Alligator mississippiensis: one gene and its partners. The protein of the gene in region 2 interacts with the protein of the main gene of each other region in a pairwise test. Links are inferred from orthologs where the notes say so. Each region holds a gene or a part of one and is shown on either strand. Other genes may lie near its edges.

Evidence for each region. The genes of interacting proteins can lie anywhere in the genome.
Region 1: the proteins of CDKN1B (region 2) and CCND2 interact in binary tests that used the Homo sapiens proteins (3 or more experiments, as listed by UniProt). The two-hybrid records come from large-scale screens. The link is inferred for Alligator mississippiensis from reciprocal best matches to the Homo sapiens genes CDKN1B and CCND2.
Region 3: the proteins of CDKN1B (region 2) and CCNA1 interact in binary tests that used the Homo sapiens proteins (3 or more experiments, as listed by UniProt). The link is inferred for Alligator mississippiensis from reciprocal best matches to the Homo sapiens genes CDKN1B and CCNA1.

What each region holds. Positions count from the first base shown.
Region 1 is NC_081827.1:142,428,580-142,436,317, reverse strand, and holds the start of CCND2 (G1/S-specific cyclin-D2), read right to left. Parts: upstream 3,400-7,738; 5' UTR 2,692-3,399; coding exon 2,497-2,691; intron 830-2,496; coding exon 614-829; intron 1-613. UniProt on the Homo sapiens protein: Regulatory component of the cyclin D2-CDK4 (DC) complex that phosphorylates and inhibits members of the retinoblastoma (RB) protein family including RB1 and regulates the cell-cycle during G(1)/S transition.
Region 2 is NC_081827.1:137,609,386-137,617,181, reverse strand, and holds the start of CDKN1B (cyclin-dependent kinase inhibitor 1B), read right to left. Parts: upstream 3,346-7,796; 5' UTR 2,995-3,345; coding exon 2,619-2,994; intron 1,833-2,618; coding exon 1,711-1,832; 3' UTR 1,702-1,710; intron 157-1,701; 3' UTR 1-156. UniProt on the Homo sapiens protein: Important regulator of cell cycle progression. Inhibits the kinase activity of CDK2 bound to cyclin A, but has little inhibitory activity on CDK2 bound to SPDYA. Involved in G1 arrest. Potent inhibitor of cyclin E- and cyclin A-CDK2 complexes.
Region 3 is NC_081824.1:420,989,143-420,996,744, forward strand, and holds the start of CCNA1 (cyclin-A1), read right to left. Parts: upstream 3,400-7,602; 5' UTR 3,295-3,399; intron 3,279-3,294; exon of another isoform or gene 3,112-3,278; intron 3,103-3,111; exon of another isoform or gene 3,014-3,102; intron 2,745-3,013; 5' UTR 2,721-2,744; coding exon 2,571-2,720; intron 344-2,570; coding exon 100-343; intron 1-99. UniProt on the Homo sapiens protein: May be involved in the control of the cell cycle at the G1/S (start) and G2/M (mitosis) transitions. May primarily function in the control of the germline meiotic cell cycle and additionally in the control of mitotic cell cycle in some somatic cells.

The sequences.
Region 1 (7,738 bases), about 4.8 Mb from region 2:
CCATGTATTTTATTTTGTACCTAACCAAGGAAAAAAGTCCCTCATAGTGCAGACAGTGCCTTTGAAACTGAAAGCAGAAAGGAAACTGCAAAGAGAAAAGATGCTGGCAGTGGTTCAAAGGTGAAGTCATTTCTACTTGTGCATGTTTGACACTGGATGGCAGTGCAGCACCAGAAAGTAAGCACCTTTAAAAAGAACTCTGCTCAGAAAGTTTCATTCCCATTTAAACACATGTACATATATGTATGTGCATGCCGGCAAAGAAGAGCTCTTCTATTAAAAAGATGGATACAGCTGTAAAAAGTATGCAACCATCCCTCCAAATGCCCCAGAAGGACATTTGCTGGTCCTGGGATCCATGAAATAAATGGAAAAGGGCTAGGAGTCTCCACAACCTGACAATGTAAAAAATGCAATGCTTTAAAAGTGGGGGGTGCCTTCCACTCCAGGAATCGCCTTAATGGTCATAAAGGGGGCAGAAAGGTCTTGAACTGTTGGAATAGTGTGTGGCACAAATGAAGGCTGTGGTTTAAGTTTGGTGGAGAGAGTGAGTGGGGGGAGGAGGCTGTAACCGTGGGGCGCACTGAAGGTAGAGGTCGGGGGGGCTGCTTACCAGCAGCTCCTGGGGCTTGATGGAATTGTCCGTGTATATGCAAAGCTTCTCCGCAGTGAGGGGGATGGTTTCTTTTAGCTTGGAGGCCAGGAACATGCAGACGGCCCCCAGCAGCTGAAGATGGCACTTTCTGGTGGGCACCACAGCTAAAAATCGGTCCAAGTAATTCATGGCCAGGGGGAAAACCTCTTCTTCACACTTCTGCTCTTCACAGACCTGCAAGCAAGGAGGAGGGGGAACGGGAGAAGAGTAGTGCAGGGTGGAGAGGGAAGAAGAACAACAAAAAATGAATGCTCACATGGAGGGGAGCAGGGAGAGGGGCTGCGGAGGGGCGCTGGGGCAGGGCTGCCCGGGCGGGGAGACTGGCCTCTTGCATTCCTGCAGTTCATTCACTAAGAAATGAATTCAAGGCACTGTGTGGGAGCCCAAAGACTGAGCTTGGGCAACCCCATGATGCTCATGTACCTATATATTTTCTTTCAACCTTCCTCCACTTTTCTTTCAGCCTTTTCGGATTTCGTCACATTTTCCAAAAATCCCTAAAAATCCCCCCGTGGGCCAGAGCCCCCCAGTTCCTGCGGGGCTGGCGCCCCCGGCCGCCCTCCCACCCCGCACCCCTCCTGAAAAAATTCCCCGCGCGGGGGCTGCGCCCCTGCCCCGCGCCCACCACGCGCCCGGGGGCGGTACGGGCTCCGCAGCGGCGGGTGGGGGAACGACTTCAAAAATTCACCAAAAATCCAAGCAAGGGGCAAAAGGGGCAGAAGTGGCACGAAAACCAAGCGGGGGGGCTGCCCTTCCCTGCCCGCTAGGGGGGCACCCTGTAGCTCCCCCCCCGGAGCAGATGGGCTGGGGGGAAAGAGAGGGGCCGGGGCAAAGGAAAGCAGGGCCCAGCGCGGGGCTTGCAGGGCTGCGGCTGGGGGGCGCGGGCAGCGCTGCCCGGGGTGGGGGATGGAGGGAGGGAGCGCCCCGGGGCGCCTCCTGATGCCCCCCCCCCCCCAGCACACGCAGCCCCCGGCCCCTGAGCAAGGTGGGGGACGGCTGGCCTGGGAGCAGGGCTGCATGCAAAGCAACATGGCGCAAGCAGGGCACGTCCTGAGCGCTGCATACGTGGGCACAGAGGCGCCCCTGGGGCAGCTCTGCTCGGGCGGGCACCCCCTGGCCCTCCGGATCGGGGCTCGGCCCCGGGGCAGCTCCCCGGCCCGCAGGGGGCAGAGCAGAAGGGCTGGGCGGCTGCACAGGGCCGGGCTCGGTCACTTTTCTGCACCCCCTTCTCTTTTTTTGCACCCCTCTTTGCAAGCTTTTTATTGCACCCTTAGGCTGCGCGCACACACACACACACACACACACACACACACACACACGTGCGCCATTTCACCCCCCCCCCAAAGCATGGAGGGGAAGGAGCCCCAACTCTGCAAATGAGATCATGCAGAAGGGATCAAGCAAAGCAGAAGCTTGCAAAAAAAAAAAGGTGGGGGGAATAACAGAGACTAGCAAAGGACCCTCCCCCCCTTCCTGCAGAAGGGATCAAGCAAAGTAGAAGCATGCCAAAAGGGTGTGTGGGGTGGGGGGGGGAGCTTGCAAAAAAAAGAGGAAAGAGAGGGGAAAGAAGGGGGGGGGATAACAGAGCCTAGGAAAGGTCCCCCCTTCTTGCAAAAGGGATCAAGCAAAGCAGAAGTCTGCAAAAGAGAAGTGGGGGCAACTTGTAAAAAAAGGGGGGGACAACAGAGCCTAGCGGAGGATCCCCCTTCTTGCAGAAGGGATCAAGCAAAGCAGAAGCATGCAAAAAAAAAGAGGAGGGCAGAGGCAGCAAAGAAGCCCCCTTGCTGCCCCGACGTGGGCGGCCCAGGCTGGGCGGCGGTGGGGAGGGGGTGCACACAAACCTCCAGCATCCAAGTGGCCACCATCCTCCGCATGAAGGGCTGGATGTCCTTCTGCACGCACTTGAAGTAGGAGCAGTGGGGCAGATACCTCTCCTCCACGGTGAGTAGATTGTGCAAAACGCGGTCGTCGTAGAGCAAGTTGGGGTCAGGGAGAGCCCTCCTCATGGGATCCACCTCGCAGCACAGCAGCTCCATGTTTCCTAAGAGAGCTCCCTCTTTCTGGGATGGAAAAGTTGTTTTTTGGGGGGGGAGGGGGCGGGGGTTGGGGAAGGAGAGGGGTAGAGGAGGAGGGTAGGTGGGTGGGAGGAAGGCAGCTCGCTCCTGCTTCCCTTGAAACTTCTCTCTCTCCCCCTCTTCCTCTCTCGCTCTCCTCGATTTCTAGCCTAAAGTTGAAGCGAAGTGACGCAAGGCGGCGGGGCAGGCAGCGCTGGCGCTCGCGGGGCTGGAGCGCGGCGGCCGGGCAGACGTAACAGGCGGCGCCTTCCTCGCCGCGCTCTGTCCTCTCCGGGGTAGCGAAGGGCCGGGAGGCCCCGGCGCAGAGGGGACATGCACAGCCCCCCTCTCTCTCTCTCTTACACACACACACACACACACACACACACACACTGTGTGTCTCTCACACACAGCCTCTGACAGTGTCACACACAGTCTCATACACACACACAATGTGTGTCTCTCACAGCCTCTGACAGCGTCACACACACAGTCTCACTCATACACACAGTGTCACACACGGTCACGCACACTGCCACCCACTCATGAACACAGCCTCCCACTCATGCTCATACACACCATGCCTCACACTCACACACACATCTCACGCTTATACACACACACACTGCCTCACCCACTCATATACACAATGCCTCACACTCACAGACACACACACTCACACAGACACACACTGTGTGTCACACACACACTCTCTCTCCCCCCCTTACTAGCAGCTTCCCCCTTCCTCCCTCCAACCTTCCCCTCCGCAGTAGCCAAACGGGGTCTCTAGTCATTTCTCGCCAGAGGAAACTGGCTTCCTAAACACCCGGGGCTTTCATTTTGCGGGGGAGGGAAGTCGTGAAATAGGAAATGTCCTTACTCGGTGCAGCTCTCGCAGAGGAGCTGGTGCTCACAGGGTCAGTTCTCCAGCTCCCCTCTCCTCCCCCCTCCCCAAATGAGTCTTCTCATCTGCAACCGGGAGACAACAGTCACACTTTGCTCGCCAGTGAAAGGCAAACCAGAAGGTGACAAAAGCAGAGTCCCGAGGCTGTGCTGGTGGCTGTATATACTTTGCAACGCTGATGTCTGGAGGGAGCTAGCAGTGGCCACAATGCAGCTTCCTCGACTGTGTGTGTGTGTGTGTGTGTGTGTGTGTGTGTCGCCCAGAGCTGCTCTACCAGTGCATGCTCACACGCTGATATAACTTTCTAGGAAACACGGAGGGGGGGCAGGCGGAGGAGAAGGGGGAGGAGGACTGGTCCCGACTTCCACCCTTCGCCGCTGCGCGCTGCATGCAACACAGCTGTTCTCGCTGCTGGCCAGGCCGCTGCCCCGCTGCACGGGCCAAGCCCTGGGCTTTCCCGGCTCTGATTCATTTGCTTTCATAGTCACTCATGCTCTGGCTTCTTTTGGCGTGTCTTACATTGTCCCCAGTTGCCCAGGGATGTGTAACTTTTCCCCTACGGACAGAGACGCACAGCGCCCCCCCGCCCCTCTCCCTCTGGGGCCAGGCAGCGGTGGGGAGGGTGCGTGGGGTTTGCTCGGTCCCTTGCAGCAGCTGGACCCCATAGGGTCCTATGGGGAAATGCAGATGGGGCTGCAGGAGAAGGAAAGAGGTGGGCAGGCAGGGGATACATGATGCCTGGGATGAGCCCGGCTTCTCGCGATCCCTTCCTCCTCCCCCCAAGGAAGATGGAGGTGGGGTGGAAGGAGCGAAATATCACTTTAAAAGTGTGAGTTGAGAGTTTGGGGAGCCGCTTCCCCTCCCTCTATTTGCATAGCCAATAGCTCTGGGGCTCTCGCTGCTGCGCGCTGATTGTTACTGGGCAGATTATATTTTAAGGAAGAAGCTGTCCCTCCCTACATCAAAGAAACTCAGCAAGGGGGGGAACCCACCCACCCACCCGCTACTGACCTCACCCGTCGGGGGGGATTGGGATTTCATCTCCCGCAACTCAATAAATCCATGCAATTAGCGACTGCGGCGTGAGCCTGCAGCCAGCCCCGCCAAACTGCGGGGCAAACCGAAACAGCCTGCCCTGAGGCTGGAGCTGCTGTGATAGATTAGGAATCAAGGCATAAAGACAGCTATAATAATAATAGTAATAATATCATCATCATTATTATCATCGTCGTCATTATCACTATAAATAGCAATATGATTATTGCAATCGAGACACACGGGACTGGGGGGCTGGTCATAAAGAGATCATAAAGATGATCATTATCATCATCATCATTGTCGTCATTGTCATTATTACTATCAGTATTCTTGCATAGAGGCACACAGGGCTGGGGGGATGCCCCAGACAGGTTAGGAATCAAGTCATAAAGAGAGTTATTAGTAGTATTATCATCATTATTATCATCGTCATTATCATTATTAATATCAATATTATTATAGCAATAGAGGCACACAGGGTTGCCCCAGATGGTTTAGGAATAAAGTCATAAGGAGAGTTATTATTATCACCATTATTATCAATATCAATATTATTATAGTATAGAAGCACACAGTGCTGGGGGGCTGCCCCAGACTAGCCAGATGTTGAGTCGATGATGCCCGTGTTTCTTTTATTAAGAAACACCCACCCGCCTCTGGACTCCAACCCACAGTGCGGCTGATTCTTGCTGGGCCGGCAGAGCCCTCCTCCTGGGAGACCCTCCTCATTTTCTTTGCCAGCTCCTCCCCAAAGGAGCAGGGGGCTGCGGCCGGGTGCGCATCCAGGAAACCCCGGATGCAGGCACCCGACAAATCGCAGTGGCACTACATTTCCCCCCCTCCTGCCTCCTTATAATGGCATCAGCTGGGCGGTTGTCAATCAAAAGTCCCCGGTAGGAAGCGGTGGACATAGCTGTGTTGTGCAAAGCCCGCATTGTATTCTGCCCCTGGAGAAAGGGAAAAGGGAGGGAGCTTTCCCCACCCCTGCACATACACTGAGGTCTATGAACTAGGAGCTATTAAAAAGCGGCATGCTACTCAATGAAAGGCTCTTTAAACTCCCCCCATTCATTCCCCCTTCCCTATTGCCCGCCTGCTCCTGTAAACAGGGAGCGCGTTGTGTCAATGGCACGTTTGCCTTCTCCAAACTCATCGGAGTGAATTCATAAACGCCCTGCTCCAGCTTGGGAGCCCGAACAAGCCAGGGCTTGTGCTTGAATTTGATTTTCACTGGGGAGCGGGGAGATGGATGTCCTTGTACAGATGTGACACTGATCAGGACAAAGGGGGAAAGACCAGTGACTTTGCAAAGGCGCTGGCTTTTCAGGAGGAAGAGGCAGGAGGGGTCCCGTGGGCACACAGCACACATCTGGAAAAGAAACGAGCACACATCTGGGGGTGTCCTTCACACACCAGGACAAGAAACGAGGTGACATCCCCCTCCTGTCATCTCCCCATGGATATTGCCCTCCAGTTTCAGGATCAAAGCGAGATCACTGGGGGGAGAAATCTTATTTTAAAAGCTTTCTTACTTCGGTGCCTCTCATTCAAAGTATTATATTTAGTTTTTTTGTTTTTGTTTTTTAATTTTTTTGTTGTTGCAAAAATGCTCCTCTCCCCGCCCTGGGAGCAAAGAGTTACCCGACTTCATGCCAGGGCAGGGACTGCCCAACCTTTCCTTGCAAGCCACCAAGTCCAAGCTCCTGCTTTCGGGTTCATGTCTGAGCCGCTAACGTGTGGTTCTCATTTTCCTCCGTCGGGTCGAGATGAGGGTTTTGTTTTGACTCTGGGTGGCCACGGGGCTTGCAGCTATGCCTACACCCGGAGACGCACTTCTGTGCTGTGGAGCAAAAAAAAAAGGTCATTTCTCCTCACTGCTTTGGGAGTTTCTTGCTCAGTTTCAGACCAAAGCTGCACCAGCCACTTGGTTCGTAATGTGGTCTTTATGCCCATGGGCAATCCGTTTTTAGGCTGTTATTATTATTATTACTTTCTTAATACATCACATTTTGAGACAGCAGATGTTTTAACAGTCTCAGTTTGGAGATTATCGAGTGCCATATGTTAAATAGCAAGTCCCCCATCCCCCCCTAAAAAAAAAAAAAAAGAAACCCCCTTCTCGCGCACACACTCCCTTCTTTTGGCGGGTTCAGAGCATAAATGATTCAATCAAACGCTGTCAGAATATATATCTTTGTATGCCAACACCTTATAAAGTTGACACCAGTGTCTGGAAAGGTTGTGGGGAAGATCCTCCCCCCTCCCAGTGTCTAAATCACTCCCTGCAGCGATGTCTCCAGTCCAGCTGCAGCCCGCACCATGCTGGATTTTCGCGGAAATTCAACGTCATCCTGCCAGCTCACGTGGGAATCATTTTTCCTCGGGAAAGCGGCGCCTATTGCTGCTGCTGCTGCACAGTGTTATAGTATGTGATGCTGGAAGCCACACGCTCTGTACTGGAGGGGGTGCTGTGCTGCTCTTAGTGCTGTTGCCATCCTGTGAAAGGCAGCGATCTGATCAAAAAAAGCGATTGGCATCAGTTTTAGGAACGTCCTCCTCCCCTGCCCCCCCCCTTGCAATAATTTTCCATTCACTTTGAGTACCGTTATCCCTTTATATTAATAATCAGGAGCAGAGCAACTATGAACTGGACCAGATGCTCCTGATTAATATTAATCCTAACCTCTATAAAACTATGTTAGGGGCTGGAAGGGACCTCCCTTTATATTAATAATCAGGAGCAAGGTCCCTTCCAGCTCCTAACATCTATGAAACGATGAACAACACAGTGATAAAAATGCTATTTTATTATTTGCAGGGTTTTTGGTTGTAGCTGTGCTGGTCTAAGGACATAGGCAGGTAAGGTGCTTTGGGTAGATGTGATATCTTTTATTAGACCAACTGAGTAGGTGGAAAGATGTTCTTTGCAAGCTTTCAGGCACAAGCACCCTTCTTCAGGCATAGGGAGTCTCTGTTGTTCTTCTGAGATCGCCAAGGAATGAATCGAGCTAAAAGTGTGACAGGAGGTCTAATAAAAGAGATCACATCTACCCAAAGAACCTTGCCATTTTATTATTTAATGTTCCA
Region 2 (7,796 bases):
TTGTTTTGTTTTTTCTTCAGTGCTTGTACAAGATCTCCATCCCATGGAGAATCAACGATATGTATTTTTTTTTATTAATTTGTAATAGACCTTTACATCTCCCTGGCTTCATCCACCACTGGGGCATCCAGATGAAGGAGGAAATGCAGATGAACTCTGCAAGGAAAAACAAGGGCAGGTATTAGCGGAGGGGGCTGGGAGGGAGGCAGCTTTACTCCGAAAGCCCCCAGATCGAGGGCCGCAGTTTTGGCCCCAAGCTTGTAAACGGGTGTGGTGCCAGGCAGGGGAACAGAGGGGCAGAGCCCTGTGGAAAAACAACACACCCGAGGCCGCCTCCCCCGGCCCACGGAAATGGGAGTGGTTCCCTCCGCGCCTGTAAACAGGGCTCGGACACCGAGTCACCAGGTCTGTGGCGCTCGGCTGCGGGAGGGGGAAGGGGAGCCGGAGCTGTTTTCGCGGCCGGTGCGCGGGGCGCCGGCGACTCCCGAAGCTCCCCGCCCCGAGGGAGCGCGCGGGAGCACACAGACGAGAAGAAAAGCAGGAGCCCTCTTCCCTCCACACTTAACCCCTTGGTGCGGCCGCTCGCCGCGGCTCCGCTTCCCCTTCCCTCACCCAAATAAACAGACAGTAGTAGTGCTATTTGCATACACATCATGCTGACGTGTTCCTGGCCCCGTTTACCCCAGCGGGGCTCATTTGTGCTCACTTCTGCTTTCCAGCTTCATCTGCTCGGCACCGAGCATGTCTGTAAACCTCCCTTTTTCTTAAAAAAAACAAACCAAAAAACCTCGATTCCCTTCAAACCGCCAGCCCTAGCCGTCCCAGCCCCTGGCTGCTTCAAAAAAACAAACTCATTAACCCCCTCGGTGCCCTGGACACTCACTACGGTGCCAGCGTATTCAAAATCATCAGCATCAAAATTAGAAGTATAAAAATAATAAATATCAAATAATACACACACAAATAACACTAGTGATGATGATGACCATAGTAAGAAGGGTGCCATCCTATTAAAATCATCATCATCATCACAACAATAATAAAAGCAGCATAAAAATAATAACCAAAAATAATACACAATAAATAATACACATAATGATAACAATGATGATGATGATAGTAAGTAGAAGACATGTTCTGCCCACCCTGAATTTCAATCCAAGTGCTCCCCTTACTTTTTCTCCACTCCTTACTGACTTAAGAGATCTCACCCTGGCTTGTTTGCTGAGCCAGAGACAATGCTAACATTGTCAACCAGCTAAAAAACAAGAAAAAAACCCAAGCAGCAAACAAAAAGGGGAAAAAATACTTGTCGTTTGACTTTTTTTTTTTTTTTTTGGAGCGAGCCTGTTTTGAAACTCATTTTGCCAGCATCTTATTGGGAGAGGAGGCCTCAGCACCTTCTAGCCAAGTGACCCAAGCCACCCCAGCCAGGTTCTTGTGGATAAACAGCCTACAGCCAGGACTTGCTTAGACACCTCCCCCCCTCAAAAAAAAATCTCTCAAGGTTGAGCACAAACAAAATGCAGTTAATATGGCCAGCCTCATCCAAACCCCCTTTGGAAATGCCTTCAAAGAGCAACACACACACACACACACACACACACACACACACACACACGGGCAGGAGTGACTCCACACTTCCCTGCCTGTTCAGATCCGCTATTTCTTTGGGACACCAACATCCTAGTGGGAACCCACCTACACAGTTCACGTTTGATGTTGTCTTGGGCTGGATTTCTTGGGCGTTTGCTCCACTGTGCTGGCACTGTGGGAGTCTTCTGAGACTTCTTCTTCTGCTGTGTTGGCTCTTTTATTCTGAGGAGAGGAGTCTGGGGGGGGCAAAAAAGGGGGGGGGAACCTGGTGTTAAAATACATTTCCTGCTAGATATGCACTCACAGGACCCAGGGTACAGAGAAAAGACCAACCCCCCCCCACCCCCCTTTGACAAGCCCCAGACTGGATGGATGGCAGGAGAAAAAACATTTAAAAAGCTTAGGGGCTGAGTCCTTTCTCTGATTCAAGCAAGATACAAGGTTTCCTGTTTGGGTCGAAAAAGACTTCTCTCCATTTTGGTGCCCAGGGATGCTGTGATCCTGGGGCTGTTGCATTAGGAATCCCTGGAAGTAGAGCCGAGGGAGGGAGGGGACAAGAGGGGGGCAGATGGAGGGGCATCCAGCGTGGGTGGGGGCGAGAGGGGGGCAGACAGAGGGGCATCCAGCTGGAGCACCCAGCCTGGGTGGGGGGAAAACGGAGGAGCATCCAGTTGGGGGACTCAGGTGGGACAAGCCTTTTGCCCTGCAGCAGGGCCAGATGTGACAAAAATAATAATAAGTCAAGCGGATGTAAAAAGAATAGTAAAGTGGGTGTTGAAGGAGAGCGAGGCAGGGCAGACAGAGGAGCATGGGGGGGGGGACCCAGGTGGAAGGGCCAATGCCCCCGCGCCTTTTGCCGTGCATTAGAGGCAGGGGCAGACGTGCCGCAAAGAATAACCACTCAAGCGGGTGCCGGGGCAGGGCAGCATCCAGGGGCGGGTGCCGCTGGCAGGGCAGACCAAAAGCCCGCGCGGCAGGGCAGGGGCAGGTGCGCAAGGCAAGAAGAGGAGGTTGTACGTTACCGTCGGGGGCCGGCCGCTTCCTCTGCCCGGCGGCCGGGTCGGCGCAGGCGGCGCGCGGCGCGCAGCGAGTGTCCCCCGCGCCCTTGCCCTTGGGCAGCCGCGTCGGCCGCGAGTAGAAGTCGGGCGAGGCGCCGGGCTCCAGCGCCCGCCACTCGAAGCGGCCGCGCAGGGGCCGGTGGAGCTGGAAGTCGAAGTTCCACTTCCTCTGGCAGGCCTCCTCCAGCTCCTGCCGGTGCTTCTGCAAGTCCCTGCTCAGCTCCTCGTGATCCACCGGCCCGAAGAGGCTCCTGCAGGCGGACGGCTTGGGGTGCTCCGCCTGCCTCCCCTCCATCCGCTCCAGGGTCGGGCTCCCATTAGAAATGCGCACGTCGGACATGTCCCCCCCGCCCCCCTCTTGCCGCTGGGGGTGGCCGCGCCGCGCTCCCCCCCACCCCCCTTTTTTTCTTCTTTTTCCTTTTCTTTTGAGTGGCCCGCAGCGCGCTCGCGGCCCCGGCCAGCAATCGCATAAGCAGCCCCGCGGGCGGGGAGGGGGCGCGGCGGGGCCCCCCGGAGCAAGGCGGGCAGCTCCGGGCGCGCGGCGAGCGGCGGCCGGTGTCACAGGCGCGGCGTAGTAGCGGGGGGAGGAGGGGGGTGCAAAAGAAAGGCGGAAAAAAACAAGAAAAAGACGAGCCCTCTTCTCGCTTGCCCAATATGGCGATTGAAGGGAGGCTGACGAAGAAGAAAATGATTGACATTCCCAGTCTATTTAAACAGCGCCGCGGAGCCATTGGCTCCAGCGCGGGGCGCCGCCCCATCTGCCCGCCCGGCCTCTCCCGGACAGCCCCTGTTAAGGTGGCCCGAGCTGCTGTGCTAGGGGCAGGGAGGGGGGTTGCTTTGCTTTACCCCTGCCCCGGGCTGAAGGGAAGCTCTGACCCCCTCCTCCTGCCCTGCTCCTCTTCTCTGGGGGGACCCGGGCGCGGGAGCCCGAGTTACGTGTTGACCCGGGGCGGGGGGAGGCAGGCGGAGGTCAGGAGTTCAAGGAAAGCGCCCCGAGGGGAGCTGGGGGTTGCATGTGGGCGCCTCCTTGTTGTGTGGTGGGTGTCAGTCCCCACGGGCTCTCTCGGTGGCCACGCAAGGCTCGCTACTGACTTGGTCAGGTCCGTCTTGCCCCCGTGTCACGCGGCGGGTGCTGAAAAGGGGTCTGAGGTTTTCTCCCCCCTGCTGCACATCTCGCTTGCAGCTTCCAAACTTTTCCCGAGCATGACCCCATTTACAGCCCGATTTCCTCAGCACGGCCTCTCACTCCCAACCCGCAGCAACCCCATCCTCGGATGTGGACACCCCACTGATGTTGCCACCCCATTTGGGGTCACAACCCACAGTTTGGGGACCGCTATCCCAGACCTTAAATGCTAAGATCAAGCCAGACACTTCCCCCCCACCCCCCGATCAGTTTAAAGTCTAGGACAGCTAGGTCTGGGACAGTGTTTAAGGTCTAGGACATCTAAACCCCAAGGCTTTTGGGCCTGGGGCTTGCATGTAGGATACCTTTCTGGATTTGGGGAGTGTCCAAAGCCCCAGACAGATGGGTTTGGGAGGGAGGAGCCACACAGATTTATGGATTGAGCTCCGCTCAGTCAAATGTTGGAACTTGACTATTGGGCTTTGCACAATTGAATTGGAACTGATTAGTCCTTCAACAAGATACAAACGAATTAAGGTCTAAGAAGTTCCGTACCCCTAACTCCCATGCTCAATAGCTCCCGATGCCCCTTTCCTCCAAGAATGTGTCCAATCCCTTTTTGAATCTAGTGGAGCTGCCAGCTTTCTCAGTGTCTGGCAGCAATGAGTTTCACACTTTAATTCCACACTGTGTGAACAAGAACTTACTTTTGTTAGCTTTAAAACTGACTACTTACTAGTTTCATTCGTTTCATAGTTTAACATGTGTTGGGGGGTGGCGGGGGAGGAAGAAGGAACCCCTCCATGCCAGTGCACCTTTTGCCAGCCAGCTAAGGAACAGCGTTTGGGGGCTAGACGGATCGTGGTCACATGTGTCTTCCTCCCCTCAGGGAGAAAGGACTTGGGGGAGGAAGTGGCTTTGAGACTCTCCCTAGGTGGGAACAACCTGGCAGGGGCAAAGCCAGTTTGATTTCTGCAATATTTCTGTGCTCCTGGAATCACAGCTCACGCGTGTCTTCCCCGCCCCCAGGTACAAAGAGGGTAAGAGTGACCCTGGACCACTCTCCATTCCTTCCCAGTTCTTGGTCCCATCCCAAGCCATTTCCTTTATCAGAATGATTGGATGTGGGTGGGGAATTTCTCCAGGGACATAGGAATCATCTCATCCCCCTGGGACAACGAGCACCCCCTGGAGATGCTGCTAGCTGTCGGTGAATGGCTTGAACTTTGGAATGGCTGGACCTTTGAATTGAAGCCTGTGGGGGCCACAGGCATTTTACCCTGCAGTCTAACGAGGGTCCCCTCAGTTTGGTAGGCAAGAGATCATAATTTCCCTATCAGTGGGATTGTATTTCTGCATGACTTCGCAGGGATCCATGTAGCACACAACTTGTTTAGACAAAATCCTTTAAAGAGTGAAAAGCCAATACAATGGGGGTGGGGAGAACTCAACTGGCCTGGTTTTGAAGTAGCTGAGTGTTTTTCCACCTACGCACACCAGTTTGGGTCTAAGCTGCTGAAGCTTCCCCTATGGGTATTCCTGAAGCAACTATATCTTCATCATAATAGTGTTTTACAAGCATGAAGTGACTTTCATAAGGCAACACATGGGGGGTTAGGGGGAGGGTGAAGGGGAAAAAAATCCAGAACATTTTCTTATTTCTCCATTCCCCTCCCACTCTTAACAATGACCAGTCCCAGGGCAGAGAAATTCACATGACTTGCCCAAGGCCCATAGTTTCAGTTCGTTTCAGAGCCAAACATCCCTAGTGTTATGGTCTGTGTTCAGTGTGTCATGCCCAGAATATCTCAGCACTGCCAACTCCAAGTGTTCAAACATTGTGTGTAAAGCCAAAAAAAAAGATAATCATGAGACTGGCTTAAAAAAATATGGGATTTTTTTATCAGCTTTTAGGTAGCAGTTGGTTTGTGTTTTCCAGCTTCTCTCTGCAACCACATGTTCTAGCAACTTACTTGAAAAACAAATGCAGACTGCCACTCATGTCTGCAGGAACTGACGCTTTTTTTTAAAGTATTGCACAACTTACAATACAATTGCAAGAGTGGGCAATACAGGCACCCATTCCACTGTTTTATATCAAATAAGGCTTTTCTTTTCTTCCCCCCCCGGCTGTTTCTGTCTTTGAGACTGTGTTTTAACTTGCACAGCCATCAGGACACAAGTACCATTTTACACTCCTTGCAACTGTCTCAGCTGGAGAAGCAAACTGTGTTTAGTGTGCTGAGCCACATCTGGTATATGCACTTTAAGCCTGTCCAGTTTAGAAAAGTAGTTCTGCAAAGCCAGGTGTGCCCTGCTCAGGACTGCCTGATGCTTCAGTGACAGATGGGGCTGGCGTGCGGGGAACAGACAGGTTGGTTATGAAAGGGTGGTTATCTGGTGAGTGTCCTTATAGTGTCAGGATCTGCCTGTAGTAGAAAACAGCACTGGCTCAACTTCATCACTTGAAAAATCAGAAATACAAGCAATCAGTGGCCGTGTCTGCACGTGCATTAATGCACCATAGTTACTGTGCATTAAGTTTGATACTTATATAACCAAGTACTAAATCAATGAGCAGGAACTGGCACTACTGTGCAATAGCACTGATGCACAGCTTTTTAGTGATGCTAACTGAGCAGTAGCCTAACACTACTGCACAGTAGCATATTAGCATGATGTTTCCTGACATGTTACTGAGCAGTAGTATTAGACTACTGCACATTTAGTGTCTGGTGTAGATGTGCCCAGTATACATCCAGAGACCACTGGTTTTGTTCTGTTTTTATGCACAGGCCCACAAACTGGTTTCTGACTTGGATTCCTCTAGGCTAACACAATACAAACAATTAGGAATAGCAACAACCACTCATCCAAGGGTGGTCAAACCAGCTGAAGTGCATCTAAATTAGGGGACTGCAGCCTTTAACCAAGATAATTTTTTCTTCAGTTCAGCCAGTTTGTTTTTCTAGTAAAATAAGGCCCAGCCCCACCAGACAAGAGACCAAAAGAGAGGCCAAGGCAGGCAGGTGTGGGGCTGAGCCTTGGAACCATTGTACAAGCCTGCTACACCTGGGACATGATTCTTTCTCTGACTTGGACTTGGTGCTCCTGTTAGTAAAGGCTCAAATCAAGTGTAGTCCTGGACCTGGTCCAAGGAGTGCTGGGAGCTGGGAGTCTCCCTGCAATCAGCCCCGCACACCGACCATGTCACCATGACGCCCAGCACAAGGACCTTCCTGAAGCGGTTCCTGAAGGAAGCCGTCCGAAACAAGTACACCAGCGACCAGAGGGCCAAACCCGACCAGGGCAAGGTCTTTGACGTCACCTCAAAGTGGGACTCTAGCAATCACTTCATGCCCAGCGGGAGCTTCACGCGCTTTGCAGACTGGTGCTTCCTCCACCGCGCCTGCCTCAACTGCCTGCCTCTGAACGGGGCTGTCTGCTTCAGTCACCGGGACAAGAGGTGCTGACGGTGTGGCTACTCGGTAGAGACCCTCCCCCACGTGCTGTGCAGCTGCAGGTCGCATGCCAGAGCCTGGCAGCTCCGCCACAATGCTGTCCAGGACTGCCTGGTGAGGGCCATCCTGGCCACAGCAGGGGAGATCTCTGTGAACCGCACTGTCCCGGGCTGCGAGAGCCAGATGCAACCTGACATCGTGATAACCAACAAAGAGACCAAGAAGGTCATGATCATGGACGTAACCCTCCCCTTCAAGAACTAGCACCAAGCCTTCACCGACATCTGGGCTCACAAGTGGGAGAAGTACGTCCCGCTGGCCGACATCCTGAGGGGCTGCGCCTACGACATGACGGTTGACATGCTCATCATGGGAACACTTGGAGCCTGGGACCCCAGCAACGAGAACGTCCTGCGTGCTTGCCATGTTTCCCGCCACTACGCCAAGCTGATGAACTGCCTCATGGTGTCCAACACCATCAGCTGGTCCTGCAACATCTACGTGGAGCACATCATGGGCCACTACCAGTACTCCAACCCCACCAGACAGACCACC
Region 3 (7,602 bases), on a different chromosome or scaffold from region 2:
ACACTTTGGGTAGTTATGCAAGAGATTTGAGCAAAGGAAGCCAATTGCTTCACATTACAGATCAATGTCATATGCAAGGTTTGTGCAACGACCAGTTACCTGTGCTCAAATTCAATAGCAGATGAATACTGGATTTCACTGTACTAGAAGCCACTTCACACAGGCTAGGTTCCACCTCTTCTACAACTGTGCACTTGTATCTTTCTTTCTGCTCTGGTTCATCTATGTAAATAGCAAACCCTTGCTTTGATGTTGCATTAACCATGCAGCTCGGTCGTGTGTTTTTTCCACCTGGAGGAAAGGTATTTTCAGAGCCCGAGAAGTGCCTGATAATGGTAGTGCCCTGAAACAGAGTAGAGAGTAATTCTGTAGGGAGAGAATTGGTGGGAACAGAACAATTCCCATTTTAAGAGAAAGCTTCCCACTTTATACAACACTGCAGGTTACCAACTAGAGAAAACTATTTGCATCAAAAAGCTAGAAGTTAGCTGAGAAGAAAGCTTACAATTAACAACTGGTATTTAAGTTCTACTTATTGCCTTCTTGCTGTAAGCCGAGTCTTTTATGCCATATGGCGTATTAACTGTATACCAGGTTTGGTCTTCGGCACAAGCAGCATAGGGGACTATTAGATGTCAGCAAGAGGACCAGCCTCAGAGAGTTACTGAAGTTTCATACTACATTTCAAGCTAGTTAGTTAAAAGATACGAATTGTAAAGTGAAGCCTAGGACTCTTGAAAGCATTAAACTAAGATAACAAGGAAGGAAAGGAAATAATATTTGTCAGCTTTACCAATAAGCTTACCGTTTTGTCTGAATTTTTTTTTTTGGGGGGGGGGGGGGAAGCAGTTTGCATGGATAAGATAACATTATGCTGCAGATTACAAGTGGTAACTCTGTTTTGTTCCTCTGACCCCTCCCCCGCATAGACTACTGTAGTTTAACCCACAACTGTACGTAAACAGGAGTATGAACAGGCATATCGGGTTTGTAGCTATGGCTAGGATAAATACAGGCTAGTGGACTATACCAACAAGAACTGCACACAGACTCAAACAAGTGATGCTGAAAGCCTACTAGCTTCAGTGGTTTCTCCATACTTCTGAAAACAAGGATCTTTTTGTTTAGGAACAGGCTTGAAGGGCACAGAGCATGACTCTTACCACGCAATGCAAGGTGAAACCTAAAAAGGTAGTAGTCAGTGAAAGTAAGAGTCATTTACTATTTTGTCAGTCAGGTGGCTATCAGACACCCTAAAGGAATAGTAACCATATTACAGGAAAAGTGCATTTCTAGCCAATTTTTGCAGTGCAGTACTAGAGTCACATTAACTTGTATTACAAGCCTTAGGTTTCAGGACCAGCTGATGTGCCAGAGGTAATAAGATCAGCAAGGGAAGAGGGGCCAAGGCAAAAATAAAGGCTTCCCCCAGGAGTAGTTCTAGCTCCTGGAACATCATGCCACGACATGGGAATCCTGTAGGCAGCCACATGACCGTGGAGGCACAGAGCAGTAGTTGGCAGTTCAGCAGCATCTGCATTTCCACCAAACCCCACATTCTAGCATCTAAAAAAGGCTGCTTAACAGTCCCTTCAGTGACCTTCCTATCAGGAAAAAGATTGAGCAGGTTAAGAAGAGCATCACTATATTAAGTGCTTGCCAGCAGTGCCCCTGCCATCCTCTTTCCCACCATGAGAAGTCCTACTTATTGGGTAGTAACTGAAGCACTGCCCTTCAAATGCCCCCCACCCCTCATGGCCACTTGACCCGTCTCCTCTCCATGCTGCATAGCATGTAGTAGCCAAGTCAATCCCAATACTGCTAATTCTAAATATTCCTTTCGAGTAGAGACTGGCTTATGACTGAAGACTCTCCAACAGGTGGTTTACTTTTTGGTTTGCACCTTTAGGTTATGCCAAGGCCACATTTAACACTTCTTTCCTTTCCCCACTCCTATGAGCTAGAAGCTTATCTGAAAATGTGAAAGCCAGGCCTTGCAAAATTACATGTTTCCAAGCTGTGGGTTTAAAAAGAAAATGCCCAATATCATTGTTTGGGAGGGTTGTTACCTTGTGCCCCTTTTGAGGGGAGCTGGGAGTCAGAAGCCACTTTAGCTAAAGGGAAGAAGAATCAGCAAGCCAGGTACCTAGGACTTTAGATACCTAAAAACCTGTCTTGTTGGGATAAGACTTTGAGAAGTTTGAGTACTACAGACAGAGGGGATACCTGTGTATCAATATCACAGCAACATGCTTCAGTTTTACAGGTTTGTCTGCAGAACCAGGGTGAGGTTTTATTGGTTTCATTTTTTTTTTAAACCAAGTTTAGAGATCATCAACAGGACAGAAGTTGCCCATCAGAAGTGGCCCTTTGTGCATGACACAAAGAGAAACAAGCCTTCCCAGAAGCACCCCAACTCTAGCACAGAAGTCCTGAGAACTGGCTTACCCTGCACCATCCCAGCTGAGCTACCTGCACCATCCCTGCTCACACTGTCTCTGCACCAGCACCCAAAAAGTTTGTCAGACCAGGTCACTCCCCAGTGTAAGCAGCAGCTCTCCAAGAGTTACCTGGCTACAGGCTCGAAGGCACTGTCCATTCTCGGTCAGCAACCCAAGCACAGCCCTCTGCAGGGCAGGCTGGCTGGAAGGAGCTGCAGCCTGGCGGGGCTCCCGGTTCCCCACTTGGGAGACCCCACCCTTGTCCTCGCTGCACCGCATGGCCTCCAAGTCAGCAGCAGAGAGCTGGGGGGGAGAGAGACAGACAGCATGAAAGAAAGAGAAAAGCAGGTTAGTTGTTCCTCCAAGACTGATCATCTCCCTGGTATCTCTCCCTCCTGTGTCCCCCCCCCCCCCCACACACACACACACACACACACACGACTGGTGCCTTCTGAATCTGGGGGGGGGCGCCCACAGAAGTCACCAATGGCAGCAGCCCTGGGGGGGGGGGGGGCACCAGCCCATCCGACAGCATCAGTATTGGTCATTGGGGAGGACACATGGACCCCTACCAGTCACCTATGCATGCACACATACACTGTAGTGGAGAAGCAGCAGCCTTCCTCCATGCTCTTTTTACTACCCCAACCAAATAGACTACAGCTTGCACCTTGATCTCCAGCAGCTGAGATCAGTACGGGGGGGAGGAGCGGCGGGAATGAACACCTGGGATCTGAGCCTGATCTGTGTAGGCTCAAAGCAGTGGAGACAGGGAGCACCACTGTTGGCGGGAGCAAGGACAAGGGGCGCTGTGGGTGGATGGGTGGGTGAGCGGGCAGCGCCCCCGCATTACCTGCGCCCCGCCTTCAGGCCCGGCCCGACCCGACCCGACCCGCCCGGCCTATATAGCCGGGGCCAATGAGCGCGCGGGGGCGGCGCGGGGCTGGCCGATGCTCCGGCGGCGTCTGTTGGTGCGGGCCAGTTGGAACCGCGGCCCGGGCCGCTCTCGCCGCCCGCCCTGGCAACCGCGGCGCGGGCCCGCACCCGCCGCCCGCCCTGGCGTCCTGGGCCCGGAGCCGCCCCCGGGCCGCGCCGCACGCACAGCCCCGCGGGCACGCGCTGATTGCACACACACCTTACACACTGGTGATGCACACGCCCTTCTTACGCAGGTGCGGACACAGACTACACACACGTACGGATCGCACGCACACGAGTTACATAGGTGTAGACGCACTGGCTAGATTACACACACACTGATAATACACTCACACAGGGGCATTGATTGCACACCTCCCCGCAATTATACACATGTATGCACACACTGGTTACACAGGTGGCACATAGATGACACACTGATTGCACACTGGGGCATACAGGCACTGATTACATGTATGTACACACTGACTAAATGCATGCACGCTGATTATGTGTGTTCACACACTAATTACACACGTGGTGATTCCGCACACGTATACACAGGATCCTGTGTACACAGTGCCTTCAGGATCCTGTCCCAACCACCGCCTGGGAGCCCCCTGTCCAAGGGCGGTGGCTTTGCTGTCCCCTCAGCTGTGTATCCTTTATCTCCTTCCTAACCATCAGTGCAGAGAAGCAGCTCTCTGATTTCCAGTCACCTGCAGCCATCTGTAGCTGTGTGAGCCATTGGGGAGTGAAAGCAAACCCCGGGACAGTTCCTAATGAAGCCTGGAATAGTTGCAAGTAATTGCAGTGTACACAAGGCCCCTTTGGCTGCCTTTTGGTGCAGCGCTTATAGAAGCGACTGTAAGGAAAGGCCCCGTGGTGTTCATTCTTTGCAATGACACTCTCTCATGATGCACAAATGCAGGGGTGGTGAACACTCTGGGGTCCAGTCTTCATCTCAAACCCATGCACCTCTAAAGGACACAAAAATAATAAACCTGGATGTAGAAAGACCCTACGTTATACAACTAGACTAGTCACTTCTGGCACAGAAAATCTATGTGCCAGCATAACCCAGAGCCTGAGCACTGAAACCTACTAAATCTCATCAAATGTTGCCCCTAAACACCCAACTTTATAGCGTTTCAAGAACAAATAAATCTGTCTCACTGCACTAACAAAAGTCCTTGAACCGTTGCATCTCAGTATGGGATGGCTGCAAAAAGCAGGATCTGGAATATGGATCCTCACATTCATCCAGGCCCCAATACATATTCTGTGGCTTAAACTGAAAACAAAGGTAGCTACCACTATTGCAGTGCAACAACAGAAAAAAATCAACTAAAAACAATGGACCTGGATGCACCCCCATGGATCAGTGCTGCAAAAACTTGGTTCCAGGATTGAATCCAGTTGGAACTTTGCAATTTTGGGGGGCCCAAATTATAGTTTAGATTATACATCTAAATAGAAAACAAGCATCATTTCTCCCATATTAATGAAATAAAATTCAAGCTTTGATGCTTGCTGGCCTAATGCCACTAGAAAAGCATATATCTGGTTCTAGGATCCTGTTTCACACTGCCAATTTTTAACCTCAGCCCTCCCTCCTCATCAAAGTAGAATTGTCTAAATAGAGAAAAAAGGTTGCATCAATATAGCAAAATGTAGTTATGCAATATGTATCCCACATGTTGTGTTTCAGTGAAACCATAATAGCCTATATCTGACATCACTTTGTCTAGATACCGTACCTCCAAATGTCATATTATGTATGTATATTTTGCAATGGAACTGGTCCAGTGGTTGTGTAATTTAGCTTAAACACTTGATGGGTTAGTAATTTATGGAGATAATCAAAACAATGTAAAGGAATTACATACTGTAATTCCATTAATTGTAAATAATTTCTAATGTTATACAGGTCTAAAAATCCCTTAGGTTGAAAAAATCTAAGCACATTACCTACAGATTTATCCAATGCACATGCATAGCTGTACTTGTTATCTGTCCAGAAGATAAAATTTGTGATGATGGTGATAATACAAGTTAGATTTGCTGGACCTAGATCTGCAATTGGATTTTTCAAGTGTTTGTGTGCTAGGAGTGATGAGGGGCCAGATTTTTTTTGCAGGAGTGACTATACAGGTAGTCCTTCGACTTATGACACAATTGGTTCCTGAAAACTTCATCTTAAGTCAAAATGTTGTAACTTGAAACTGATTTTCCCATAGGAAATAATGTTATAAATGGGGGATTGGTTCCTGAACCAAGGCCCGATACCCTATTTTAACCAAAAATAACCCATAATTTTGTACTCAATCAATTATAGATGAGTAATATAGCTACATTAGCATATTTATATTGTAATAAGCAATCACATTGATTTGGAAGGACTTCTTTGAGGTGACTTTGCTGGACTTTTTGAGGGCTCTTGGCTGGAGTCTTCTCAGGAGTCTTGGCTGCAGGTTTTTCTGGAGCCTTGGCTGCTTTCTTAAAGAAAGTGTCCAAGGAAGCTTGGACAGATGTTTTCCAGGGAGATGGGTGATGCAGTGAATGTGTTCACTGGCATGGCATTGCATCGGATCAAGCTTTGTACAGTCTAAACTGATGTCAGAAAGTTGAAACAGTGTCAATTTATAAGCATTGTAAGTGTGAAACGTAACTGGAAACACTGTAGGTCGAGGACTGCCTGTACTTGATCTGTATTTATGCAGTGAAATTGAAAAGTGCTTTGTAGCCAAAAATGGTCAAATCCAACAGGACCCAGGTGCAAGGTACATATTCTTGAGTTGCTTTTGCACTGGTGTGTATTAGAGCCAGCATTTTTCTAAAGGATAATGTGCTTTTTTGACTATACAGTTTGGGGCTTTGGGCAGGATTCACCAGGCTAAGAATGCTGAGTATCTTTGTGGTGCTATTGAACAGGGATATACCAGGATCTGAATTTTTGAGTGAGAGTAGAGCATCTATCCTTCCCTGTTGAGCTGGTACCATTTTGAGGTTTGGGATTTTAGATGCATATGTTGACTGTTACAACAGAGTCTGGATTTGGCAGTTCATTAGGAACTCCTATATCTTCTTCTTGATTTAGACAATAGAATTTGAGAGGCTGTAGTTAAAAAATTGGCAGACTTCTATTGCCAAATATGTGTTTTCTAGTGCTATAGGACTGGTATCCAAAAGAGGGTCCAGGTCCCCCCTCCAACATCCCCACACCCCTCTCCCCAAGTGAAACAGAAGCAGCCCTACATGTTTGTGTAACTTGGAGCTTGAAGCCAAAAATCATCAGACTGACTGCAGGGAGATTCCAGATGCAGAATTTTGCAGTGTTCATGTGTCTGAATGCATCAGGATCCAGTATTCTTCTATATGTAGTATGGAATATAGGAAAAAGGCAAATATTAGCTAGATTTGCTACATCCCATTGTTTGGGGGATTCATGGGTTTTTGCATAACTGGGGTCTGGAATCCTTTAGTGCAGTACAAGCTACAAAACTTATTCTCTGTGTGGTGGCATTGGCTTTGGGGGCTTGGGTCAAAATTTGGGTGGATCCACCAAGCTTCTAGTGCCAGACTTGGGTTCTTTGCAGTGCATATACTCTAGAATGCAAAAGGGTCTTAATTTTATGTAGGTGCAGTTAGAGCAGCTAGACATCTAAATTGTGATGATATTTGGGAGCTTGGAGTTACAGATCAGCAGATCCAGGTAGATTTAGCTTTTTCTTTTCTAAAAAAATGGCATAATAGCATTTAAAATGTGAATGCCACCAACAGAGAATTCCTGGTATGTCTCACAGATAGAAAACATGATGTCAGTATCTGACATCATCTGTGTGCAGTTTTACTTTCAGTCAGAATGGATCCTTGGAGCTCTGTGTTCTTTAGAGAAGTTAGATGGTTGGGAAAATAATATGGGGGAACTGTAATGACTAGAGGAAATGATCACATAAAGGTCACCAATGCTGCAGGATAGGGCTAGAAAATTATGATGTACAGTCCTCTTTTTTTTTGGTTGAGATGATCAGGAACCCCTATGTTAACATATTTTATGCAGACTTTCATGACATGCAAGATCCCATCTTGTGTAGATTTGTTAAACGTTTCAATACAAAAAATTTCAATCCTTGGGAAAATTCAAACTGAGACACTAATTGTGCAAAAATTAAATGTGTGTAGACTTACATAGAGAGGAATTCTCTTGACTTTACTGGAACTAGTTGTAATTGTAACGTCA